3 linked regions of the Schizosaccharomyces pombe genome follow. The protein of the gene in region 2 binds, or shares a complex with, the protein of the main gene of each other region. Each region holds a gene or a part of one and is shown on either strand. Other genes may lie near its edges. The genes, in order: nup85, nsp1 and gle1.

Region 1 (8,883 bases), on a different chromosome or scaffold from region 2:
TTGACACATAACTTGAAGCTTTTTCCCATCAGCATGGATTTCATAGAAACGCAGCTTATTACCAGCAGTACGAAGCCCAAGAACACGGCCGGCAACTGCAACTTCAACTTCAGGCTTAGTTTCACCACGAGCTAGTCCCTCATATTTGGCTATAAATTCAGGGAGGGTGATGGTGACCTGGAACTTGTGGGGATAAGGATTAGGATCCTTCGTTTGGCGTAATTCCATGATAGTACGAGAACGATTTTCAAAGTACTGGGAAGGGTCCAAATCTTCTTCCTTCTTTGAAGAGCTCTTAGGAGCAGCAACAGGAGCAGACGCAGCCTTTTCGGCTTGCTTTTTTGCTTTAGCTAATTCACGAGCACGTTGTTTTTCGCGCTTCTTTAACTCAGTCTTTGAGACTTGTTCACCAGTGACGGGATCAAGGACTAAAGCCTTTACAGCCTGTGTAACTCCATTCACCTGTTCCTCACTCATTTTAGCTTACAATTGCCGTTTTCAGGTTTCAGAGAAATTTTCGTGGAGGAAGAGAATATTTACCCCTTGTAGATGGTAGTTCCGTAACATAAGATAGTGTAATATAACACATTCCGTTATTTAGTTAATATTTTTTTAAAATGATTCTGTTGATATATGCTAAACGTTTGAAGATGTGAGTAATAAATGTGTAAAATTTTTTAGATTTACAACATCGGCTGGGTTCACTGATTTTGGATCCTCCCTATTATGGTATTAGACGAGACATTATAATGGGTCTTTAAGATGAACAATTGTATCTTAATAAAAACATGTATGAAGCTTCTATGTTACAGAAAGATTAAAATGTCAAGTAACAGAAATAGCCTAATTTAAATCCCCAATTGAGTAAATAACTCAATTATGTACAAGTGAGCCAAAATTTGCAGAAAAAATATATAGCATAGCTACTATAGAATTAAACCGTTTTTATTTTTTTAAGTGAAGAAAATACCATGATATCGCAGAAGAAAGACGCTCATGAATGGATAGTAAAAGCTGCTGGTCCTTTACAGTTGACTGTTGATCCTGTAAGACAGCGATACAATCATAAACATTAACAAGAGAAAGCTTAAAATCTGTCGAGTTAGACTGTAAAGGATTATTCAAAAATTCGTGAAGTAGTTCTAATAACTTAGGGAATCGACTTGAAGGGAAATCAACCATTGTTAGTAACCCAACAAGAAGTTCAGAGGCATTGAGCTCTTTTTTGTGCTGAAGGTAAAAAAAATATTGATGAATTGTAGCAGCTGGAGATATTATCGAGGCAAGGGTCGGGGTACAGGCTTTAGGAGAGCTAAACAATTCATACAACAGTTCATCTTTATCGGGACTAAATGACTTCTTTTCTGCAATACATATATCAAACAATTCCCAAGTAACGCGATTTAAAGCAGAATAGTTCGCAGCATTATCTAAAGCAATTAGTGCTTCACCATAGTGATTACGTGCAATTAATTCATCAGCCCAATGAGTCAATACTAATTGAGCTTCGTCCCTTAGTTTAAGCTGCTTGCATAATTGAAGTGCAGTTTCCTTGGCATCCACATCGGAAAGAGGGACATATGGAATACAAGCTTTTATTCGTTGATAGCCGGAATCAGCAACACATTTCCAGTAAGCAAAGGACGTTTGCCAAAGATTTCTACTTTCTAAAACACACTGCCCATATTCCAGTATAAGATGTTCACGTAAGGTAATGGGATATTCCTCGGTTATGTAATCCCGCAAATGACCGCTTTTACTCAATAAGTCTGCTAAATGCACGGCTAGTCCAAGATCTAGAAGATAGGCGTGTTTAATAGCGTTAAGAGGTTCATTACTGCATAAATTAACGCATATTTGTTCATACTCAATCGTTCCATTAACGTAAAACTTTGAGTCTTCTCCAGTTGCAAGTTGATATAATAGAGATATATCTTCAGGATTTTTACAATCCAAAGGACCATATAAAAATGCTAAAGCTGAAAAATATTCCTGCCAGTGTGCGCAACTTAACATGATGACTTCTTTATTTCCATTCAAAATATCAAGCAAAACAACAAAATCATCCAAAACTTCCGAATCAATATCCCGATGTTTCTTAACCACATGTCTGAGGTTAGCCAAGCGTGATCGCCACAGTTTCCATCGTCTTTCAAAATCGGAAACCGACCTAATTCTCTTTTGGTGCGTACAAGGGCTGTAACGTAATATATCAATAAGTTCGTCAACTGTTTCTTTAAGTACAGGCCACTCCTTCGTTAAACCGGACATCTCGAGGCATGATATAGTTTGTTCAAAAAGTCCACGAATAGCTGTTTTATTAACATAAGGCCAAAATTCAGGATGTTGGTAAGGTATACGATAAGCCATGATTTCGAGTCCATCATCGGCAATAGGCTGTGGATCATAGGCATTTACCCAATCTAAAATTCCTGTTGATAAGGTATAAGGAGAAGAAGGGGGGAAATAAATAGCTTCAGCACAGCGCCAAGCTGATTCCACTTCCCATAAAGAATCCAAAACAGGCTGACAATCTTTTTCACCCTCGTTAATACGCGACTGCAACTCCTCTAAAACTTGTATAATTTTAGAGCGGAAGAGCGAGCTTATTTTCCCATAAAACTGCGTTAACAAAAGCAAATTTGCCTCGCTGTCCAAGATAGGAGTCATATAGGTATCTTGTAATTCTTCCCATAATTCATGCCATGCGGTCAAAAGGTAATTTGGTTCAATTAGAGTAGAAGGAGTACTAAATTCATACACCAGAGATTCTACTTCTTCAAATTTATCAGACTTTAACGTATTTTCGTCAAATTCTTTGTTATTAATGTACGCTAGTCCTTTTCTCAAAAAAGGATGCAATTTGAAGGCTACCGTTCGGCCTTTTGAACGCCAGTCATTCAACTTTCCATTTTCTATAGGTGCATTTTGTAAATGATAAACAGGAAGATCCACTTCATCCGAAGATTCCATATTGGAATGTTAGTAGTTCCGAAGAAAGTAAGAAAAAAGCCTTGTAAGATTTGGATTAACCAAAATATAAAAGAATATATTTATCTGCTTTCCGATACTCAAAAAAATCAGTAAGTATTAGGAATTTGCATGTGTCCACCTGCAGGCGTTTTTCAGATGTCAAAAAGGATGGCTCTTGCTCGACCAGGAGTAATTTAGTATAAAAATTAAATCTCACTTGATTCTTGTTGGTTTTTTTTGACAACGAATAATACTAATTATCTAAGGAAGAGCAGACACTCCTTTAAAGATGCTTTAATCGTAAAGTAAGGTTGATCGAATTGGAGCCAGGCTACAATATGAAGTTTGAACTCAGATCGTCGCAACAAAAAATAGCAGTCTTCCTGACTTTCTTTAATGTTATTAGAATTAAAGGAATTAAAATAAAAATTAGAAACGAATATGCCGTTGCTTTTATCTTCGTCAAAATTCGATGCATGATCGTATTTCATGGAGGCATAAAAAAATTGATCATGTTTGCAAATTAATTTAAATTATAAATTGTAATAAATTTCGTTTCTATATAAATTTGTTATCACTTATTTTACCAGTGAATTAACCAAGATTCATGCTTACATATTCGATAAATCTTCGATGGACTAACTACACACGTAATTAACGTTTCGAACCTTGCAACTGACTCTTTTAAAGAACATTACCTGTCTGTTGGAAGGACAGTTGATAATCAAAAAGTATTTCTATAATGAAGAACTGTTTACTTAAATGATTTTAAAATTCATTGCAACCATGTCCACACTTAGACAATGATCATTTAACTTTAGCAACTTAATTATAGCCATACTTGTTTTTCGGATTATGAACGGTTTATACGCCGTAAAAGTCCGCAATTGAATTTCGTATCTTCCAGTTAAAATACAGAATTTAGGCTGTGCTGCTAACGAAGAAAAGTACTTGCAATCTAGTATGAAAATACGTTATACATTAAAAATAAGTTTCATTGAGAACTGTTGGCAATTAAGCAATTTATGTTTAATAGCAATATTTGTAAATGCAAGGGTAACTTACAGAGTTTGATGCTATATATATCATTATTGAAGGGATTCTGAAAAAATAGAACTAAACAGTCATAATTGAATCTTTGCATACCGCTTTTTTGTCAAGATATATGCCATCAAAGTACAAATTAATTAATATTATATTAAACAGAATTAGTGTCGATTTATTATCATCGATAATATGCGTTCAAAGTCAATAAAGTATCTATAACAAACAAATTAAGAATGGTCGTGTATTATTTTTCCTTTGCGGGAATTACCTTTGTTGTTAAATGTACTCAAGGAACACTAAAGGAAAGAAAGACCTAGCTCAAAAGACAGCAGGAAGGAGCAAACTGTGCGTGACGATCGCTAAAATAAAAAATTAAATTACTCCTTACCAAATTAAAACCTTTGGAACAAAACAAAGTATGATCACTTTAGATTGTCTACCTAGATGTTCTAAGGCTTTAATAAGTGAATATAATATAAAAAATTTACTTAATTGTGTTACAAACGAATGTATCACATTGCGTTTTTGCCTAGTTTGTTTACGTATTTAACGAATCACTGCAAATGATTTTAACGAGTTAAACAGAAAAAACTTTCCAAACACCAACATAAACAGTATGTTCGACTGATTTTACCCTTTTGTTATTGCTTTGGTTTAATTTATATTTTCTGTTATAACTTGCTGAATTTTTGTATATATTTTTTGAATTGGAATATTACGCTTGAGAGCTTTGGTTTATTTTTTTGGTAATTTGTGGATATCTGAGAATAAAGCCTTCTTGCATGTATACAATCGTTTTTTTGAAACATTCTTACATCATACCATCCAAGAATACCATTCAAGTATCTTTAAAAAGCCATGTCTGTACTAATTGAAACTACAGTTGGTGATTTGGTTATCGATTTATTCGTCAAGGAAGCGCCCAAAACTTGTGAGAATTTTCTTAAATTATGCAAATTAAAATACTATAATTTTTGTCCATTTTATAACATTCAGCACAATTATACCTGTCAAACAGGTGATCCTCTTGGACCAACTGGAGATGGTGGTCGATGTGTGTGGAATGTACTGAATAAAGGAACACGCTTTTTCAAAGCGGAATTTAATCCTTCTTTGGTACATAATAAAATGGGCTTGGTTAGTATGAGCACAGCAACTATATCTTCTAGAGATGACAAATTACTTGTTTGTGGTAGTCAGTTTATAATAACTTTGTCAGACAATTTAGAAGGACTTGATGAAAGATACCCAATTTATGGACAGGTTGCTGAAGGCTTTGACACGCTACTGAAAATCAATGACGCTATATGCGATGAAGAGGGTCAGCCTTATCGTGATATTCGTATAAAACACACAATTATACTAGATGACCCGTTTGAGGATCCACCCGATCTAGTGGAGCCTTTGCGGTCACCGTCTCCAACGCCTGAACAATTAGCTACGGTACGTATAGGGGAAAACGAACAAATTGAGTCAGAAACATCGGAAGATAAATTGCAAAGAGAGAAGGAAATGGAGGCAGAAGCAGAGGCTGTTACACTAGAAATGATTGGTGATTTACCCTTTGCTCATGTTGCTCCTCCCGAAAACGTTTTGTTCGTTTGCAAATTAAATCCCGTTACCCAAGATGAAGATTTAGAGTTAATATTCTCGCGATTTGGAAAAATTATCTCCTGCCAAGTTATTCGAGATAAAGAAACAGGCGATAGTCTTCAATATGCCTTTATCGAATTTGATAACAAAGAAAGTGTTGAAAAAGCTTATTTTAAAATGCAAAATGTTTTAATTGATGATTCTCGAATTCACGTAGATTTTTCCCAAAGCGTGGCTCGTTACAGACAATATTACAACTCCAATAGGGACCGAAAACGTTCTTCGTCTCGTAGTGATGATCGTGAGTACCACCGTAGGTCTGATGGTCGTTATGACAGATCTAATTACCGAGACGACTATAGGCATCGACGGAAAGAGCGTGATCATCGTGACGATCAAAGTTCATTTAGAAATGAAAGATTTTCTAACTACTACGGTGATGATCGTTCATACCATAAACGGAGAAATACTGGAAATAAAAATTGTGATGATCACTTACGAGATAAATCTCCTGAACGAAGGTATAGATATGATAGACGTTATAGAGATGATAGATATCGATAGATCTTTATTATATTCGTACCTTTCTTGTGAATATTATTTATGACTGATGAAATTACTAAAACATAGTTGAATAATTGATTAAGACTTCAAATGTATGGAATGAAATCTACATTGCTTATACTTGTAAAAGCAAAAAATCAAAAAAAATCGTCGTACTAAATTCGAGGGCCTAAGCATGAAAAGAACATGTTACGAGTAATCTCCATAAATGCGGCACGTTTATGAGGGAAATTAAATTCCAAACGTTTGGAGTAATTTTCTTCGATCAAATAGTTAATAAATTTTGAATTGTCAATTCTTGGTTCAAGAAGTACACGCTGAGTACGAGGATCATCCAAAAATAACATATGCGTAATACTGGATAACCACACGGGGACACGGTGAGGCCCGCGAAATTTGTCATTACCTACAAGGGCATGGAAACCACGATCATGTGTATGCCAAGGCTGAGCAAATGGAGCAATTCTATCCTCAGGAACCCAATAAACTTCAAAATAAGCAAAAGGCACATCATTGAAACAGCCAATGACACCAAAAGAATGAGGATCGTTTTGAAGTGTTGTTAGGTATTCATGATGTTGATCCCATGAACCAGACTCGTTCCAAAAGTATTCAACTCTCGGTTTGTTCTGCCACTCATGGAAATACTGCAGATGTTGCTCAATGTCAAGAGATACGAAGGAAAGTGTCTCATTCAAGCTAGGTATAAATCGCTCATACAGAGTGGAACCAGGTTTTGGACATTTGGGACGACGAATGACTTGGTTCGGTAAGTAAGATAAAGGCCAATCACTGCATCTTGTGTACATCCAAGGAGACGGGATTTGCCAAAAAGACATACGGTCAATCGAGACATTACCTTCTAACTCATTGTATTCAACAGGAAGGCTCAAAGTTCCTTTTTGACTTTCAATGTTTGCCCACTGTAGAACGACTTCTGTTCTCAAAGTAGGGAATACGTAGAAAATAGAAAGAAACGCCAACTGCAAAATTTCATTAACGTCCATGTCTTGGAATCCATTTAAATCAATATCCCATGTTTTGGACTCTTCACGATACGTTAAAAGCAATCTCTTATTGTCATGTTCTAAAGTTATCAAACTCTCTTGGACAGCTGAAAGCTTGAAAGGCTCGGTCTTAGACCAAACAGTAAAGGACATCCCGAATGAAATTTCTCGAATTTTACTTAGAGTTAAGATATATTGTTATAGATATTGCCGTCAACTATCTAATTACAGGTGAAATCTTAAACAAAAGATAGAAGCAGCGACGCTAATTTGTACAATTTGGAATCCTCGAGCAATATTAAAACAAATAGGAATTAGTTTTAATTGTTTACATACGGTGAGCAATGTACGTTATTTACAAGATGGCTGGTGCACAGTAGCACATAAACAGTGATGTCAAGAGCCTAGTGCTAAGAATCTGTAAACGTGATAACGATTTAGTAATAAAAAACTTTAAACCACATTTAGGTATTGTTTAAGAAATTCATTAAATTACAAAAAGTCCAAAAAGCAGTCACAAACAACATCAAACAAATGGCTATCCCTTGTGAGAGCCTTTCCTTACCACCATCAGTCACCAAAATTTCTAAAATGAGTGAGGCCGTGACAATTAGAACTCGCAAGTTTATGACTAACCGCTTGCTTCAAAGAAAGCAGATGGTATGTTTATTTGATGAAGCTTCCCGCTATTTGACCTTTTGGTCTATTTTTAATTCAACATCAGCTAACGGAAATTTATAGGTCGTCGACATTCTTCACCCTGGCAAGGCTAACCTTTCCAAGAATGAAATTCGTGAGAAGTTGGCTCAAATGTACAAGACTGATTCCGAATGCGTTCAAGCCTTTGGTCTTCGCACTCATTTTGGTGGTGGCAGATCTACCGGCTTCGCTTTGATCTATGACTCTACTGAGTCCATGAAGAAGTTTGAGCCTCACTACCGTCTTGTTCGTGTTGGTCAAGCTGAGCCTATCCAAAAGGTTGCTCGTCAGCAACGCAAGCAACGTAAGAACAGAGGCAAGAAGGTCTTTGGTACAGGCAAGCGTCTTGCCAAGAGAAAATCTAAGCAACAAGACTAGAGTAGATACTTACTTTAGGTTCCTTTCTCGCCAAAAACTCAATACATTCTGTCCCTCGCGTAAAACTATTATTGTAAATTTTGTTGTTTCCGTACCTTGTAACTGAGATTTTTTATTATTATGCATTGAGTATATGTACAATTCACATAACGCTACAAATACGTTCGAAATATCTTAAAATTTATTCTGTGTGCTTTTCATGCTTATATATATACCTATGTAACATCTATGCAAACATACCAGCATATTCAACAAATTCACTCAGCTTTCCAATATACACACGAATTAAAAAACCATTATTTCCTCTTTCAAATTTACAAGTTGTCCTTCAAGGAGTTGCTCTATTCATCACAAACGCTTGCGCCCGCGCTGAAAGCGTCTCCATAGTAACTTCGTCAACATTCAAACTGGCACCGTTCAACGTCAATAGTTCAGCAATTAAATAGTTGTTCTTCAATAAAGCCTTTACAACAGCCCTTTGATAATTAACGTCTGCTCCCAGTGCTAAACATAGGACAGCTTCTTTCAGATTACTATGCTCAATAGACTCCAAAAGGCCTGTGTTAGGATCGTGTGAAAATGACGATTTAATAAATCGTTTATACAAATACTTGTCCTTTAC
Region 2 (8,294 bases):
AGTGGATTCTAAATAGTGTCTCCAATGTTTGAGAGACTTAATGATTGCAAGCATTTCTTTGTCCGATACGCTATAATTTAATTGTGCTTTAGACATCTTTGCTGAATAGTATCCAACAGGATAGTATTTATCATCATCATGTTTTTGAGACAATACGGCTCCTACAGCGACATCTGAAGCATCAGTTTCCAGTAGAATCTTTTTACTGAAATCAAAGTGTCGTAGCACCGGAGGAGAAACTAAACATTGTTTAATGTTTTCTATCGCTTGGGTTTGTGTTGGTGTCCATTTCCAGCGTACATCCTTTTTCAAAAGATTATTGAGTGGATGTGTTAATTGTGATGTCTTTGGAATGAATTTCCTAAGATAATTGACAGAACCTAGAAATTGTCGTAATTCTTTACGATTCTTAGGTTGCTTCCATTGTAAGACTTTGTCTATATTTTCTTGACAAGGCGTAAATCCTTTTTCCGAAATGTGATACCCTATAAATTTTACTTGTGATTGGTGAAATTCACATTTTGCTTGATTGATAATTAAGTTCGCATTTTTCAATTTCTGTAGAACGTCTTTAACATGTTTTACATGTTCAGATTCCGATTTTGAATGAATTAAAATATCATCCATATAACATACTACATGTGATTCTTTGGCTTCACCAAGTATTGTATTGATAAAGTATTGAAAATGTGCTGGAGCTGTAGATATGCCATAAGGCATTACTAGATATTCAAAAACTCCACGAGGACAGCGAAAAGCAAGTTTATGTTCATCTCCTTTTCTTACTCGTATCAAGTGATAGGCACTTTTGAGGTCAAGTTTAGTAAAAATTGTAGAACCTTGTATTTTAGCAAGTAATTGTTCAATAAGTGGTAACGGATATATATTGGGTTTGACATACTTATTTAAAGGTTTGTAGTCAACCACCATTCTCAAGGTGCCTTCCTTTTTCGGAACGAACATTACTGGACAGGCGTTAATGGCTTTAGATTCTCGTATAATTCCACTTTTTAATCCTTGATTAATTTCATCATTCATAGCTTGCATTTTTCCCGGTGGTAGCGGGTAATTTCTGATAGGTAATCTGTAGTTTTCTTGAGTTAGTTCAACTTCAAATTCTAACCCTTTTATTGGCTTTGGTAGCTTTTCCGTATTGGTTTCTGCAGTAATGTCTTTGAATTCTTTATAGATATCTGGTAACTCAGGTTCCTTGACAATATTTGAAACTTTGTTCATTTGAGAGAGCGTGTGTTTACTGCTAGATATTTCAATGTTATTGTCATATAATGTTGTGAAGGAGATAGCAGCTGGATGCGAAAATTTCTTTACAACCAAGAATTCTGTTTTGATTGATATTCCATTTAGACTTATGTTAAGTTTTATTGTTTTGCGATTAATCTTATTTGGATAAACTCCACCATATATCACACTTTTTGACCAGGGTCTGGTAGGCAGTTTATGTGCTCGAACAGTTTCTTCTGTTATAATATTTGCTTGAGCGCCCGTATCGATTAGACAGGGTATTGAGCACTTGAAGTCTGGAAGTTCAGCTTGTAATACCATTTCGTAACGTTTCCTAGTATGATTTAGGAATTTGTTAGATGAGTATTCTATTCTCGAAACATTTGTCTTCCTCAGGTTTCTGCTATTAGTGGTGTTATTTTTCTTTGAAAGGGACTCTTTTCCTAGATTTTTATTTTGCAGTTGAAAACGCTTGTGAGTTTTACCATACGAGGCTGTTCTTTTGTCCTCTAAAAAGTCATAAATTTCACTGATTTCTGATTTCCAGTAATTTCTTTCCTTTAATTTCCTTAAGGAATATGGCAGCATCCATAATATAAACAAGCGAGTATGGAAATCATCAACATTTGCTTTTGACATGAGTTTCCTTATAAATTGAACTTTGTCCAATTGATTTCTAAAACCTTCAAATGTTTTAGTTAAACGATCACCTTTGTTGGATCCTTGTACTTTCCCTGTTTGTCTGAGTAATTCTTGCCATGTAAGACTTCCATTCTCAGAAAACATGCGTTCAGCGAATTGTTGCTCTAATTCTTCTAGGTGATTCAATGTATACTGTCTTTTAGTATGCTCATTTGGGAATAATGAAGGGTATTCAGTAAAGTGTTGATCAAGTTTTGAAATGTAACTTTCAACATCCTTATTAGGATCGAATTTCCCTATCTCTGGTACATGCTTCGATAATATTTTTGCAAAAAGGTTTATTAAATGTTCGTCTGATGTTTGAATTCCATCCAAATTCTCTGGTCTCCATCGTTTTGCTCTTGCTTTCATATAACGATAATTTGCGTAGGACATTGTATATGTTTCCCTTTGGGAGATTTCAAAAGGGATAACAGTCCTTCCAAAGTTCTTTCTCCTTTGAACCCAGAAGGAGAGAAATATATATATTTATGATATATATTTATTCAATAATTCCTTTTTCCTAAAGGAGTTAATTGTAGATCACAAGAGTTCAGTTATTGTAAGCTACGCAGTTTGGTATCTGATTTAAGGATACGTAGAACTGCGGTGAGTTTTCCTTGTGATCTATTATATTACAATACACAGGTTGTATAAGTAGCAACTGAGTATAGGTATTGTATTAACTGGGTTATAATGTTACCTATCACTAATATAGCTCATAACTGAACTGAGGAACGAGGTTCAGCAGTAGCTCTATTTATAGTATTCAGATAATATTGATCTTAATAGATTATCATTAAGATCAATCTCCATATCGTATCATACATGGTACGATATATAATTAGAACATGTGACATATAGTGATACTCAACGTAGTGTATTATAGCGTAGTGTAGTATTGCTGACATTAAGATAACTTTTACGAAATGCGTAGATGAATATGCTATTTAAAAGTTATATGTAAAATATGAGCTGTCAGAAAAAGCGAATAAATGAGTGTTCTCGAAGCTGGATCAATGTCTTTTACTCAATTTTTTACACAAGATTTTGCAACTTTGCCACTTTTGAAATATGACTTAGCAAACGTAACTTGAATCTACCAAAAGTCATAGTAAAGAAAAAGCTCTTAAACTACCCATGAAAGATGCGCAAAAGATATTAAGTTGTTATTTAGCGGCAGTTTTAAAAATTTTGTTGTGGAAGTATACGCCATTTTTTTAATAAAAACGACTTCAACAGAGATAATTTGGACTCTGTAATTTTGTACTACAAAATTACAGCGCTCTGTATAGCAGATTTACTATAAACCGTATTCCAAAAATAAAAGGGAAGTTGATTTGGTATTGAAGACAAGGAGCTAAAATCGCACGCTGTAAAAAAGAAACTACTACACGAAATTCAAAATTGAATCTTTGACTCGAAAGAACCAACTAGTTAAACTAAAAAAATAGCATTACGCATGAAATGAATTGCTTGAGTTGTTGACTTCAAGTTGAAAAGGAATGCGGAAACAGTAAGAAAAAAGTAAACATTATAAAGGCATCGTAGGGAGTGGTAGAGGCATATTCAAATGTAGATTCAATGTCTTTATACCTTTTTGAACCATGTTGAAGAACCTAAGAAGGCAGAAGATTGATCAAAGGCCCATTCACCAAAGTTTAGATACTTTTCGACAGCTGTCTTAACGTCTTCGTTATGAATTTTCTCGACCTCAAAACTACCATTACATGTTGTTAAAAACTATATCGACAAATGTAATTAGAGAATGCTACTTACGAAATACCAGATGATCGACGGATGCCGGCCACACAAGTAGAGACTAGTGCTAAGTCGACACCGTAATGAAATAGTCGGGAAAGAAAAGGCTACTATTAGTATTATTTGATGCTAAAACATACCATTATCGATTAAATAGATCTTTTTAAAGGCACTATGAGAACGTCAGAGAGGAGAGGTATTTGGGTGTGGTTGAGGTAAGTGTTTAGTCTAGCGTCAGTTTATAAGACTGAGAGGTCGGTAAAAAAATACCATAGAATACCTCTCATCTTCCTTATAACATAAAAATATTATAATTGATGTTAAATTCATAAAACTGGGGAATTAATGATTGGGCTAATTAATACTACATAAATTGTCAAAATCATTCACAGATCAAAACCTTTGTGTTCAGCTAGTTTAAAAATTTAGTTAGCAATTTATAAAGGCTTATGTAAAGAAAAAGAGAAAAGTATCTAGGTCTGTCTCATAAGTGTGAAATGAAATTCTTGGGGTTAAGTATGGTAAACTGCACGATAAATTACAAGACTGACACACCCATTTTATGAAGAAAATGCCATTTTATTATTTTCATTTACGTACAAGCAATAATGTGATGTTCCTTAGTATTGATAAAAGAAAACCACAATCTATTAGATTTAACAGCACCAGGGAATAGACCGAGGGGAAATCATTAATAAGGGCTAGGTAGTTTTAATAGTTTTCCATTTCCTTAAATATTATGATTAGAACAAAACGTCAGAATTCTTTTTTTTTATTGTATCCAACTTTTCTTCCATTTGAAATATTCTATTTTCAACCCATCCGAGACTTGCCAACTGTGCATTCAAAACCTTCACAATTTCGGAAATTGAATCATCGGGTTTAGAAAAATCATTCATTTGGTTTATGACAGTACCAAGGTCTTCACCCAATCGATCCAATCTACTCAAAATATCATCAGCAACACCAAAAGCGCGCTCACGTTCGACGTTAAGTGCTGAAGTTGCACGACCATCAAAGGTCTCCAACTGAGTTTCATAAGAATCCAGCAATTTAAATAGCTCTTGCTGGCTGGAAGATACATATTCCAATCCGTCATCAATGCGGTTTGACATCTGTTCTGCTTCAACAGTTTCAGTGTATAATTTCGATATTAAAGCACCATTGTCTACTAAAGTTCTATCCCAGTCAGAAACCTGGTCACAAAGCTTATTAAAAACTTCAGTTTGCGTAGTCAAATCAGTAGACCATTTATTAAGGATTTCCTGAAGAGTTTTGTGTTTGATAGAAGATGGAGGAGGCTCAGAAGGAGTAGTGGAGGCAGTAGCGCCCGGCTTGGCGCTGGGATCGGCAGGTTTATTACCAAAAAGGGGACCGGTTTTTGAAGTAGATGTTGTAGTATCAGTTGCAGGTTTACCAAATGAAAATCCAGAGCTAGTCTGATTCGCACCTTCTGCAGGTTTCGTATTGTTCGAAAGTGGCGGAGCTGAAGTTGCTGTTGTGCTAGTATTTTCCGTAGGTTTTGAAGTGTTTCCAAAAGAAAATGTTGGCTTATTATCACCAGTTGAAGTAGCCGGTTTTGTAAAAGCTGAGTTGGGAGCAGTAGGTTTATTAGTATCCTCTGTAGTTGCAGGTTTTCCAAAACTAAATCCAGTACCAGCTGAAGATGTGGTGGTAGTACCTTTGTCCGTTGCGGTTGAAGCTGCTTGGCCCGCAGGCTTACCAAAAGAGAAACCAGTAGTTGGAGCAGAACCAGTGTTAGATGCAGCAGGCTTTGAGTCATTGGTTCCCGTAATGGAGCTACTGGGGGTGACAGTAGTGTTAGATCCTGGAGCTGAAGTAGTTGCAGGCTTTCCGAAGCTAAAGCCTGAATTAGCAGTGGTTGAAGTGGATGCATTATTAGTAGAGCCTAAACTAGCAGGTTTTCCAAAGCTAAAACCTCCGCTTCCAGTAGCAGGTGTCGTAGAAGTAGAAGAAGCTGGAGGGGCATTGCTTGTAGTCCCTGTAGCAGCAGGCTTCCCAAACAAAGAACCAGTACTAGCGGCTGCCGGAGTCGTCGTATTAGTCGTAGAAGCGGGTTTACCGAAATTAAAAGAATTATTTGAACTTCCAAAATTAAAAGTACTACCTGAAGGATTAGTAGTTGCTGCACCTGTAGCAGAAGAAGCGGTGTTTTTACTTTTATCACCAGTAGAGTTAGCAGACCCGGTACTTCCTAAACCTCCGAAAAGAGGTTTAGCCCCAGCAGTATTGTTGGTATTAGTAGACCCAAACGAAAAAGGTGAACTCGTTGATGCATTTGTTGAGTTGCCTGTAGTCGCTGCTTTACCAAAAGAAAAGGTACTGGGAGCACTGGTGTTACTCGCGTTATTAGAACCAAATAAGCCTCCAGACGGCGCTGTAGAAGAGGTATTATTATTTGTGTTTCCAAACAAGCCAGTCGCCGCAGGAGTTGCTGCTCCTTGCGCAGCTGAATTCGGCTGCGCAGGTTTCCCAAATGAAAACCCTGAATTCTGGTTATTACCTGGGTTGAAAGCTATTGATTTTGTTAGCAAATTTTAATAAATTCCAAGGGACCAGCTTTGCCGCCTCTTACACTTACACATTGATTTGGGTCTTGCTGAAAGTTGTATCAGGACAGTGAAATGTTTATGGCGTTCGGTCACAACTCGGTGAATTCGGAGACGTCGGTAACCAAAACGGAGAACTGGGTCACCATTCGGAGTTTTTGGGACCTGAAGAAAGGGTCCACTGAAGCTCACCGAAGATACTTCTTTTACATAAGAGCGTCATCGAACGAGTGGAAAATACCTAACCAAACCCAACAACATGACCAATATATCGTTGACTATTAAGGCGGCAAATGATCAAAAGTACGCAGTTACAGTTGATAGTGAATCTTCTGTACTTGCATTAAAGGAAGCCATTGCGCCTGTAGCTGATATAGAGAAGGAACGACAAAGACTGATTTACGCTGGTCGCGTTCTGAAAGATGAAGAGTCATTAAAAACATACAAAATTCAAGATGGACATAGTATACATTTGGTAAAAACCTTAGGACAAAATCCTGCAGCCGCCGCCACGAATGTATCGGACCGCACTCAACAAGTTCCAACGAATATTCAAGCAGGTCAGGGTGCTAATAATCCTCTTGCCAATTTAACTAGCGCTCGTTACGCTGGATTTAATATCCCTATGCCATCAGCATCTATGTTTGGTCCTAATCCTGAGAATCCTGTTCCACCCTCGACCGAAGAGCTTGCCAATATGTTGTCTAATCCTATGGTGCAGTCTTCTATTAATGAGATGTTTTCAAATCCTCAAATGTTGGATATGATTATTAATAGCAGCCCGCATCTTCGTAATGCACCTCCTTATGTCCGTCAAATGATGCAGTCCCCTGAGTTCCGTCGCGCGATGACTGATCCCGACACAATGCGCCAAATGGCTCAACTACATCAACAAATGGGTGCTGCCGGTATTGACCCTATGTCCTTAATGGGGGGTGGTCTAGGAGGAGCTGGCTTAGGCGGTTTAGGTGGAGCTGGTTTAGGTGGATTTGGAGGGGCTAATAATGCTACAGCTGGTATTGCAGGTGCCGCACCTGTTGATCAAACTGCTGCTGCCAACACCATTCAAAATTTATTAAATAACTTGGGAGGAGCTGGCTTCGGTGCTGGTTTGGGAGACGCCGGTTTGGGAGCTGGCCTTGGGGGAGCTGCCTCTCCTCCAGCTCCTGCTCAAGATACTCGCCCTCCAGAAGAGCGTTATGCTGAGCAATTGAGCCAGCTTAATGAAATGGGCTTTGTGGATTTCGAGCGTAACGTTCAAGCACTAAGAAGAAGTGGAGGAAACGTGCAAGGTGCTATTGAATCTTTGTTGAGTGATCTTTAATTCCTTTGTTCGTTTCTAGAATATATCAATCAGGCTTATTGGTGTTCATATATTTCAAGGATAATACCCTTTGTATCAAGACTTCCCTCTTCCCTTTTTCCTTTTGTAATAAAATTTATACGGCCCAATCTTTTGGTGATATTTAGATTATTATGCCATGCTTGCAAGTTTTGCCAGATTTACCTGAACAAGACTTTTAGTGACTTTACCTGGAAAGTCATCGTACTCTGTTTTATCGCGATGATCATATTAATCGATTTGAATGAATATGTTTAGTCGTTTAATTTAAGTACGATGACGAATTCTATATATGCTTCTCCTAGATAGAAAGCTTACTTGTTGTGTAAAAATAAGTTTTTTCTAAATTGTCAGTTTACTTACGCTTCAGTGATTTATAATGTTCAATAAACGATAGCAGTTTTAAGATACTAAAAAAAAAGAAAAATACGTCTGTTTAACATTACAACTTAATTATGCTTATGAAAGTTGAATTTCAAATAATAAAATGATATAGACAAAATTGTATTAAGATAGTTTATCCTTAGTCCCAAAAACTAAATTCCAAAGTTCCGTCCGATGACAAGCGTATAGTTCAGCAAGTTTAAAAATCAAAAGTGACAATGGGCAAGAAATACTTTGAAACATCCCAGTATCGACGCTTTGCGCCTTTCCATTCCTCGTCTTTACTACTTACGGGCATGGATTCGTATGTACAT
Region 3 (7,966 bases), on a different chromosome or scaffold from region 2:
TTCATCGTATTTTTGTTGAATAACTTCATCAGTCTGCCTTGTAGCTTCATTTTTCTTGTGGCCGCCTGCCATGAATTAATATTTGTTGAGTTCGTCTGTATGCAGGTATATAAAAATGACGAGTTATTAGCCTATTCGAATTCTCCTTTCGATAAATTCCTTTTATAATATCCAATTGCAATCAAATAATCCTCCGTATAGCATATAATTGTTTCAATTGAAACAAGACGCGTTGAACGATGTGTTGGTAAGTCGAAAGTCGCGCCTGCCCGTACAAACGATTGAAAAAAGCAACAGGCAGAACACCAGAATTATCAAGTAACAAAACACTCTACCATACAAACAATAAAAACATAAGATTATCAGCCAAAGTTACATGAATATACTGATGTCGGTTATATGCAATTTACTTGGTACCTTTGTCTTTTTGTAAACACCGTTTTCGTCGATGAGAAGTTGCAAATAGACCAAAAAAATTGCATTCAGAAACATAGATATATTCTCCCAATTATTTGGTTACATGACCTTATAGTTGATACAAATCATTCACAAGAGAGACAAAGCTCAAATGCAAACTGTACACAGAAAATAATAAACACATTTTATTTATAAAATATTAAACCCATTAAATTCCCAAAATGTATATGTAGTTGTAAAAGTTCGTCTATGACGCACCAGTACAAACTCAATAAAACAGAAAGAATACGCATTTTTAAAAATCTAATTTTTTGATCTTTTCCCTGAACCAGAAGAATTACCATCCTGTCTCAATCTCTTCCCATGTTGAGCAAACCATTCAGCTTTTTCTTCCCGCTTCTTCTCAATATATGCTTGCTCCTCTTTTTGCATCCTTTTATGATACCGCTCATGTTCTGCTGCTTTCTTTGCTTTACGTTTCGCTTCCTTGTCCGTGTGCAAAGTCATTACTTTTTGAAGCAAATCCCTTACCTTCCGTTCTTCTGCATTCAACAAAACTGTACGTTTTTGCATGTACGTCGGTTTGCTTCTAGGACGTAAGGCTTTTTGACGAGAATTAAATGGAAGCTGAGCTTGAAGCGAGGCAGGCACTTTGAGAGGATTAAAATGTCGAGAGGGTCGAACAATCTCCTGGTACTGAGAATTGGGTCGTAAAGGAGTTTTCAATCCCAATTCATGCCGAACTTCTCCTGTTAACCGCATACCGTTCCATTCCGTTTTATCCGTCTCAAGTAAATTGGTGACCATTGTACAGAATTTTCGCACTTGTACCGGATACCATGCCCGCAAAAATACAATGTCACTCATTAAAATTTTGTCTTCAAATGTAGCACGGAAATGTCCATGTTCCTGATCAACTGCCTTTTTAACCTGACCTCGAATCCCTGAAACAGTCCTGATATTGGCACCTTCAAATTTTGCAACTTCTAAAGGACTACTAAACATTTTCTTAATAAATGCTGTGTTTTTAAATATTTTGTAGGGAACACCAGTCAATTTTAATTTTTTAACAATATCGGTCGATTGATCGATATTCAATACTGAGCCCGTAGCTGCAATTCGGAAGCTACCCGCCTTTGCGAACGAATTGGCTACAGATTGGACCGCACAAAAACCGCTGTTGGGAGCGACGAAGGGTCCATAAAAGGTACCGAAACAATGCATGTGTTCTGGAGTATATTTCAACATCCTATTTCGAGTACGCGAGTCACTAATTGAATATACAGGTATCGACTGAAATCTTCTCCAACCCATACTAAAAATCAGAGGATCATTCGTTTTAAGTATTTTTTTGTGCCAACGGTGACGCTTAATACGAACTTGAACTAATCCATACCGTTGCTCATTAGGTAGTAATCCACCAACAACTACGGGATAGCGAGAATCAAAGTGCTCAACAAATTCAAACGGAACGTCGTTTATTACGATACGTACATAAGTGCCTGCTCTATAGCCTTCGATTTCAGCTCGACTTTCAGGATCCATATCCTCAAAAGCTTCTCGATTTATAACAAGCTGACGTGCAATTTTTTCCTTTTCTTCCGTATACCAGTCAACGTCTTTCTTTTCTGGATCTCCACGATCTTCCTCTTCAAAACGAAGACGTAGCTCCTCCTTTTTACGAGCATTTTCTTCACGTTCTGTTTGAAAATCGACTTCATCAGCAGATTCCTCATTTTCAGCAGTTACAGAAGAGCCTGATGATTCCTCCATTTCATTATCGCTAGAATTTTCTTCATCTTCAAGATCCTCAAAATCACCTTCTTCATCATCTTGAGAAACCTCTTCCTGTCCCTCTATAGAATCAAGGAGACTACCGGTTATAAACCTCGACTTCAGTTGTGCTAACAGCTGTGGATTCTCCCATTTTTTCGAGAGACGGTCAGATTCCGATTCCATAAGCTTCTCATGATTCGAAGATATAGATTCATTTGCTACCTTTGACACTTTAAAAAAGTCTTCCTCGTCGTCTGAAACAACCAAATCGCTTTCGCTAGATTTTGCAGATTCACCTTTATATTCAGCATACGCGTCTTTAGGGGAAAGGGATTCATCGTAAAAAATTTTTTGAATATTTCTTCTCCTTTTACCAGATTGAGAGTATGCCAAAGCAGCTTTAGAAGCAAGTCCTTCTTTCCATCTTAAATTAGAATCTTCATCATCAAATTGACCTCCTAAATCGGAATCACTATCAGCAAATGCAACTTCTTCGTTGTCACTTTCATCCTCGTTATTTATAGCACCAATTTTTCCTGTAAAGTCGACGTCTTCGTTTTCATCAGCAGAATTAACATCAGAATCATCAAATGCCCCTTCATCTTCCTTAATTAGTTCTTGATTAATAAGTCCAGTTGGTTGGCGACGGGTTTTACGGCCAACATTATCAATTTCACTTGATTCTCTATCGACCGTATCAATAGCATCTGAATTGCTAAAAAGTTGTAATCCACTATTACCATCGACTCCCAGAGGCTGTTGGGCTTCTTGAAGTTGCATAACCATACGCTCTCCAAAGCCAGCTTCAGAATTTTCATCTTTAGAAAAATTTGAAGTTGGTACCTCAATGTAAACCCTATCTTTGTCAAACAAAATACCACCAATATCGGCCATAGGGCCATAGATTAATTTTTGTTTTTCTGATAGTCGCCGGCGACGGACTTTGTCGGCATCGGGAGGCGGGCAAGGATCTTCTAGGGAAGAAACATCAGACGTTACAAAATCACCAACACCAGGGATATGTACAGAGGCATCGTGCTTAGGAAGATTTGTGCCATGCAAATAACCATATAACGTGATTTTCCGCCCAACTTTCGGATTTTGTTCAATGTCAACAGGCAAAGTAAGGTCTTCCATACGATCAGCTAGTAAATAGGGATGTTGGTTGCGCCATCGCAAAGGCCTAAATTTCATGACACTTATGAATCGAGATAAATTGAGGATTTCCCTATCAGGATATCGTCCGTTCAAAACGCCGGACAAGTAGAACAATTTAGCACCTTGATAGAGTTCAGTCCAAAATCTGTGTTTCAAACGTTTTTTAGCCTCTCGCAATGTAGAAGTCTTCTTAAATAAATCGAGATGTGTTAATACACCCATGATGCGAGGCATACCATGCGGTGCTAATATGTTCAAAAACTCCATAGTTTCCATTTCGAATCCAAAATTCGCGTCAATTAAAAGGAGAACAAGGTCTGCAATCTTGGCTACGTCAATCATAGAGCTGAGATCGTTAGGACACTCCAAAAACGTGATTCTTCTCTTCTTTCCTGCAACCACCGTAATCGGCCCAGTAATCTGAGAAATAGTGTATTTAGAATATCTACGTACTAAAGATTTTATCAAAGTAGATTTTCCAGTGCCAGGAGGCCCCATAACGGCAACAATCACTGGTGGCGGAGCTTCATCCGGTGTGCGATCCACCATTGGCACGTGAAGCTTCTTTTGTGAAATATCCGCCGTACGCATAGCTTGCCTAGCCATGCGCCCTGCAGATGCTACCGCAAATGCCTATTCTTATTAGCCAATTTGATTATTTACAAAAGTTCTCAACATACCTTAGGATTGTTTGAAGCACTACCATCGGACACCTTTTTGAGCTTCTTTTTTTCAGCTTTTGGCCCAGAATGTTTTGCATAATGGCCCTTCTTCTCGTCCATGACAACTATGGAACAAGCTAGATATTTGTAAAGGCTCAAAGTTGAGTAGGTGAAAAAATCCACTTTAAGTCACATCAAGGTAACATGATATAACAAATTTTGAATAGCAGTGTCTGTAGCGAAAATGCATTTCTTGAGTCAAATTATCTTTATTTAATGCAAAAGTAAATATGGTATTAATCAGCGAAACTGACATCAAAGCCAGGATCATTTAAATCGTAATGGTTGAATTAAATTGAAACAATTATCTAGTACACATCCTAACGACTATAATTTCTACCGTAAGTATATTATAAATCAAAAGTAAATAGGTTGAAAACCCATCAAAAAAATTTAAGGCTCAAAGGAGAATTTGAGCCCTCCTTGACCCTTCATCCAGTCTTCTCCAACAATTCGAAGACGACCATACTGACTACCACCTCCGTTCGCTCCTAGATAAGCTTCACTAAAAGAACAAACAATAAGTTTTTTTGCTTGTCTTCCATATATTCGTAATAGAGATTGACCAGCAATATCAAGATACGTTGAGACGATAGAGCAAAGAGTTTGCCCTAGTTCCAAGTCCGATTTCATTAATTGTGAAGGGGATGGAAGATTCAGCAATCGAGAAAATGTTCTCCAGCTCTCGGGAGCTAAGCTATCGTCTAAAGAAAGTATAGCAGCGTAAACTGCAAAAATTCCGCACTGTCGCTCGTTGTATGTAGTATTTTGTTCCCAATGGCCATCAGATAGCTTTTTAAATCCCATTTTCTTTTTACCATTCTCCGTACCGTGATCATACCAAAACGGTATAACCCAAGGACAGTTCTTCTGTAGGCGAGCAAAAAGAAGATCTTTAAGGTCGGCGTTTTGTGTTTGTAATAAAAGGCAAACTTTTGCCAAAGGATAAGCGCTAATTGGGTTTACAGCAACTTCTGCTTCTGCTTGCTTCACCACAGATTTGCAGAAAAAATTCAAAACCCATTTATAGACCAAGGGATCCGTATTTCTGGCCTCTTGGAATGTCTGTTGCAGTAGCTGTGTAATCTTCATGATTTGAGAATTGCTTTTAGTAATTTGACCTAAACGTGGTGTAATTTTCCGTTTTTGAGTAAAGCAATAGTTTTTGAGCTCTTTTTTCTCAGAAATCGGGGCTACTACTTCAGTCTTAATCTTATGAATGATGGACCAAGCCATATTTGAGTCCTCTTCAGGATCGTCTTTAAATGTTTCCTTCATTCTCTTTTCCCGAGCTTCTTCTTCTTTCCTTTTAGCGTCAATTTGCTCCTGCTTTAATCGCCTTTGTTCATTCTCCTTGTGTTTTTGCTCTTCTATCAGCCTGATTCTTTCTTTTTCTTTTTTTTCCTTTTCCATCAATTCTTTTTTTCTTCTCTCCTCTTCATCTTTCAGTCTTTGGCGTTCTGCTTCGATACGCTTTTTTTCCAACAATTCACGATTAAATCGTTCCTGTTCTAACCTTTGTTTCTCTGAAAAAATTCTTTGAGATTCAGTTATACTTTGTTCAATTAAATTTTGCTCTTCAACATTCCTCTTCTTTGCCCAATCTATCGTTTTATGCAACGGTGGGAAAATACGCACATTTTCATCGGCAATTACAGGAAATGGAGATTGTTTTTTAGGCTTATACCTTTGTGATATCTAAGAACATTATTAATAAAAATAATATTAATAGAAAATCGAATACTTACTATGTGAATCATTCGCCGTGTTTTTTCATTATATATATCCCATAAATCATCAATGTCAAGACCGTTAGCATCGTTATAACTAGATATTATTTTTTCATCGAGTTTAGCATGGATTAAAGGTGTTGTTTTTGTATCCATAACTGAAATTTCCTGAAATTGAGGAAATTGGTAAAAGGACGATTTGGAATGGACATTCACTATGCGAAACTCAAATTGATCGAAACTTGATGCTTGCTTTAATTAACATTACAAGTGTCAAAACTATAAAAGTCTTAGGTTATTAGATTGTATTAGGCGGTTTAAATTATAATTAAAAAAACAGAACAAGCAATCATCCAAACTATGAGACATAAGTATATATTAACATAAACAAGTATCATTAATTAAAAATCAAAGTATAACTAGCCCAATGAAGTTGCAAAAAAATACAATAAGTAAGAATGCAATATAAACAATTGCAGGCAAAGCGAGAGATTTGACTTCGTCTATAGCTAAAATGGATTAACTGATATTGGAGGACTTCCTCTAGGTCATTAAAATAAATCAAGTAAAGAAATAATCTGTATCAAGGAATTGAATAGAATACGCTATCTTGAATGCATGAACATACGGTAATGACCAAACACGTGAAGAGCAACTCACGTATAACGATACTAACACACGATTCCGAAAATGTTTTGTAAGATTTCTTCTTATCGAATTTAAATTATAAAGATTTGCATTTTGGGACCTGAATGAGGAAAACATAGCAAAAGATTTCTAGCCCATTATTAAAGCTGTTAATATTACCCCCAGTATAACAACTAGAATTACAAGAAAGCAAAAGCTTCTTTTTCTAGCCTTTCTTGAATGCTCGTTGGCAATCTGCAACTGCCTTGAAGCATTTTTCGTGTTTGTCGATGTGTTTCCGACGTTGTATTCAATGTTGGTAACTAGTTCACCCTGTTCATTAATAATGGTGCTTAGATCGCCTAAAAAGAAAATTGTTAGTAAAACTTTAAATTTATAAAAGCGAAAATATTTTAGGTCAAGTATTTAGCATTACTCCTAACTCCATCACGTAAACAGAAAAAAAAAAAATGTCAACTAGCTGATACTTACGAAAGATTTCATTGAGTTCATTTATTCCTTGAGTCAAATTTTCGATTTCACCTTGTCGTTCATTAATAAGCCTTTGCTGATATTCTAGTTGGGAATTTGAAATCTTTGACTCAGTCAACGGCTGTCGTTGACCAGAAGAATTATTTGATAGAGACACATTACGCTCTTCCTCTTCAATAAAATGTTGTCCGACGTCTTGATTAAGTGCAGCTTGTGCTGCGGCTACAGAATCAGACTCTTGTTGAGCGCATTTCTGTTGTACTCTTTGAAGCTCAGCCAATACCGTATTAAAATCTCGGGTAAGCTTTGATAAGGCGAAGGACGACGCTTCTTCTCCATATTTTGTATCTTTGATGTTGGCAAGCCTTACCAAGTCTGAACGAACCTTTTGAGATAGTTCACGGGATTGCTCTAAAACCTCATGTAAGTTTTTCGTAAGGTTGTTTACCAAATATCTATGAATTGCTGCTGTGTTTCCTCGTAGAGCATGAATTTCCTGAGCAATACTGCTCGCTAAGGCTGGAAAGTCACCATTTTGCTCGATCTTATGTCTTCCTTGCTCCAAGTCAACAAAAGACATTATAGCAACAAAAAAATTGAATCAAAGCAATCCAACAGTATTTGCAAAGGTACTAAGAAAGTCAATATAATTAAAAAATTGGCCAATTAGCTTGAATTGAGTCTGAAAACAAAGATTCAAAGTTTTTCAGCAATAATTAGTCACCTTGCTAAGGTTACAATTCTTTTGTTCGTAGAAACCTTGACAATTGTCAAGTGTTTTAGTAGTTGGAAGAAGAATGCAAATCTTATGAGCAAGGCTCATACCTAATAGGAATTAGTAAGACCCAGCAAACCGGAGCGAACGCCTTTCGTAAGTACTCTAAAGTTCTTTATTTATGTATAGTGCGAAAGAAGGCAATCTTACAATAGGTTATTATTAGTCGCTATTTAGTAAACATCTAAAATGGCTGAAATCTAATATAGGACACATTCGATTAAAAGGAATTAATTGAAATATTGATAATTTGAATTTCAAATAAAAAA

Evidence for each region.
Region 1: nsp1 (region 2) and nup85 share a complex: the UniProt entries of both Schizosaccharomyces pombe proteins name them as parts of the nuclear pore complex.
Region 3: nsp1 (region 2) and gle1 share a complex: the UniProt entries of both Schizosaccharomyces pombe proteins name them as parts of the nuclear pore complex.

The regions. Positions count from the first base shown.
Region 1 is NC_003423.3:2,173,156-2,182,038, forward strand, and holds nup85 (nucleoporin Nup85), read right to left. Parts: upstream 3,276-8,883; 5' UTR 2,974-3,275; coding exon 946-2,973; 3' UTR 501-945; downstream 1-500. Other genes in the region: lysine--tRNA (Lys) ligase Krs1, read right to left, coding at 1-477; RRM-containing cyclophilin Rct1, read left to right, coding at 4,879-6,177; sib3 (siderophore-iron biosynthesis protein), read right to left, coding at 6,333-7,337; rps2402 (40S ribosomal protein eS24), read left to right, coding at 7,776-7,844, 7,926-8,261; centaurin Cnt5, read right to left, coding at 8,590-8,883. UniProt on the Schizosaccharomyces pombe protein: Functions as a component of the nuclear pore complex (NPC).
Region 2 is NC_003424.3:3,363,230-3,371,523, forward strand, and holds nsp1 (nucleoporin Nsp1), read right to left. Parts: upstream 6,324-8,294; 5' UTR 6,291-6,323; coding exon 6,287-6,290; intron 6,221-6,286; coding exon 4,428-6,220; 3' UTR 4,243-4,427; downstream 1-4,242. Other genes in the region: Tf2-4 (retrotransposable element/transposon Tf2-type), read right to left, coding at 1-2,319; mitofissin Atg44, read right to left, coding at 3,514-3,643, 3,703-3,791, 3,825-3,827; dsk2 (UBA domain protein Dph1/Dsk2), read left to right, coding at 6,514-7,578; rmt2 (N-methyltransferase), read right to left, coding at 8,180-8,294. UniProt on the Schizosaccharomyces pombe protein: Functions as a component of the nuclear pore complex (NPC).
Region 3 is NC_003423.3:245,254-253,219, reverse strand, and holds gle1 (nucleoporin Gle1), read right to left. Parts: upstream 5,992-7,966; 5' UTR 5,960-5,991; coding exon 5,822-5,959; exon of another isoform or gene 5,772-5,821; coding exon 4,467-5,771; 3' UTR 4,243-4,466; downstream 1-4,242. Other genes in the region: cell cycle transcriptional repressor Whi5, read right to left, coding at 1-72; GTP-binding protein Bms1, read right to left, coding at 721-3,984, 4,032-4,133; SNARE Pep12, read right to left, coding at 6,581-6,792, 6,923-7,502. UniProt on the Schizosaccharomyces pombe protein: Functions as a component of the nuclear pore complex (NPC).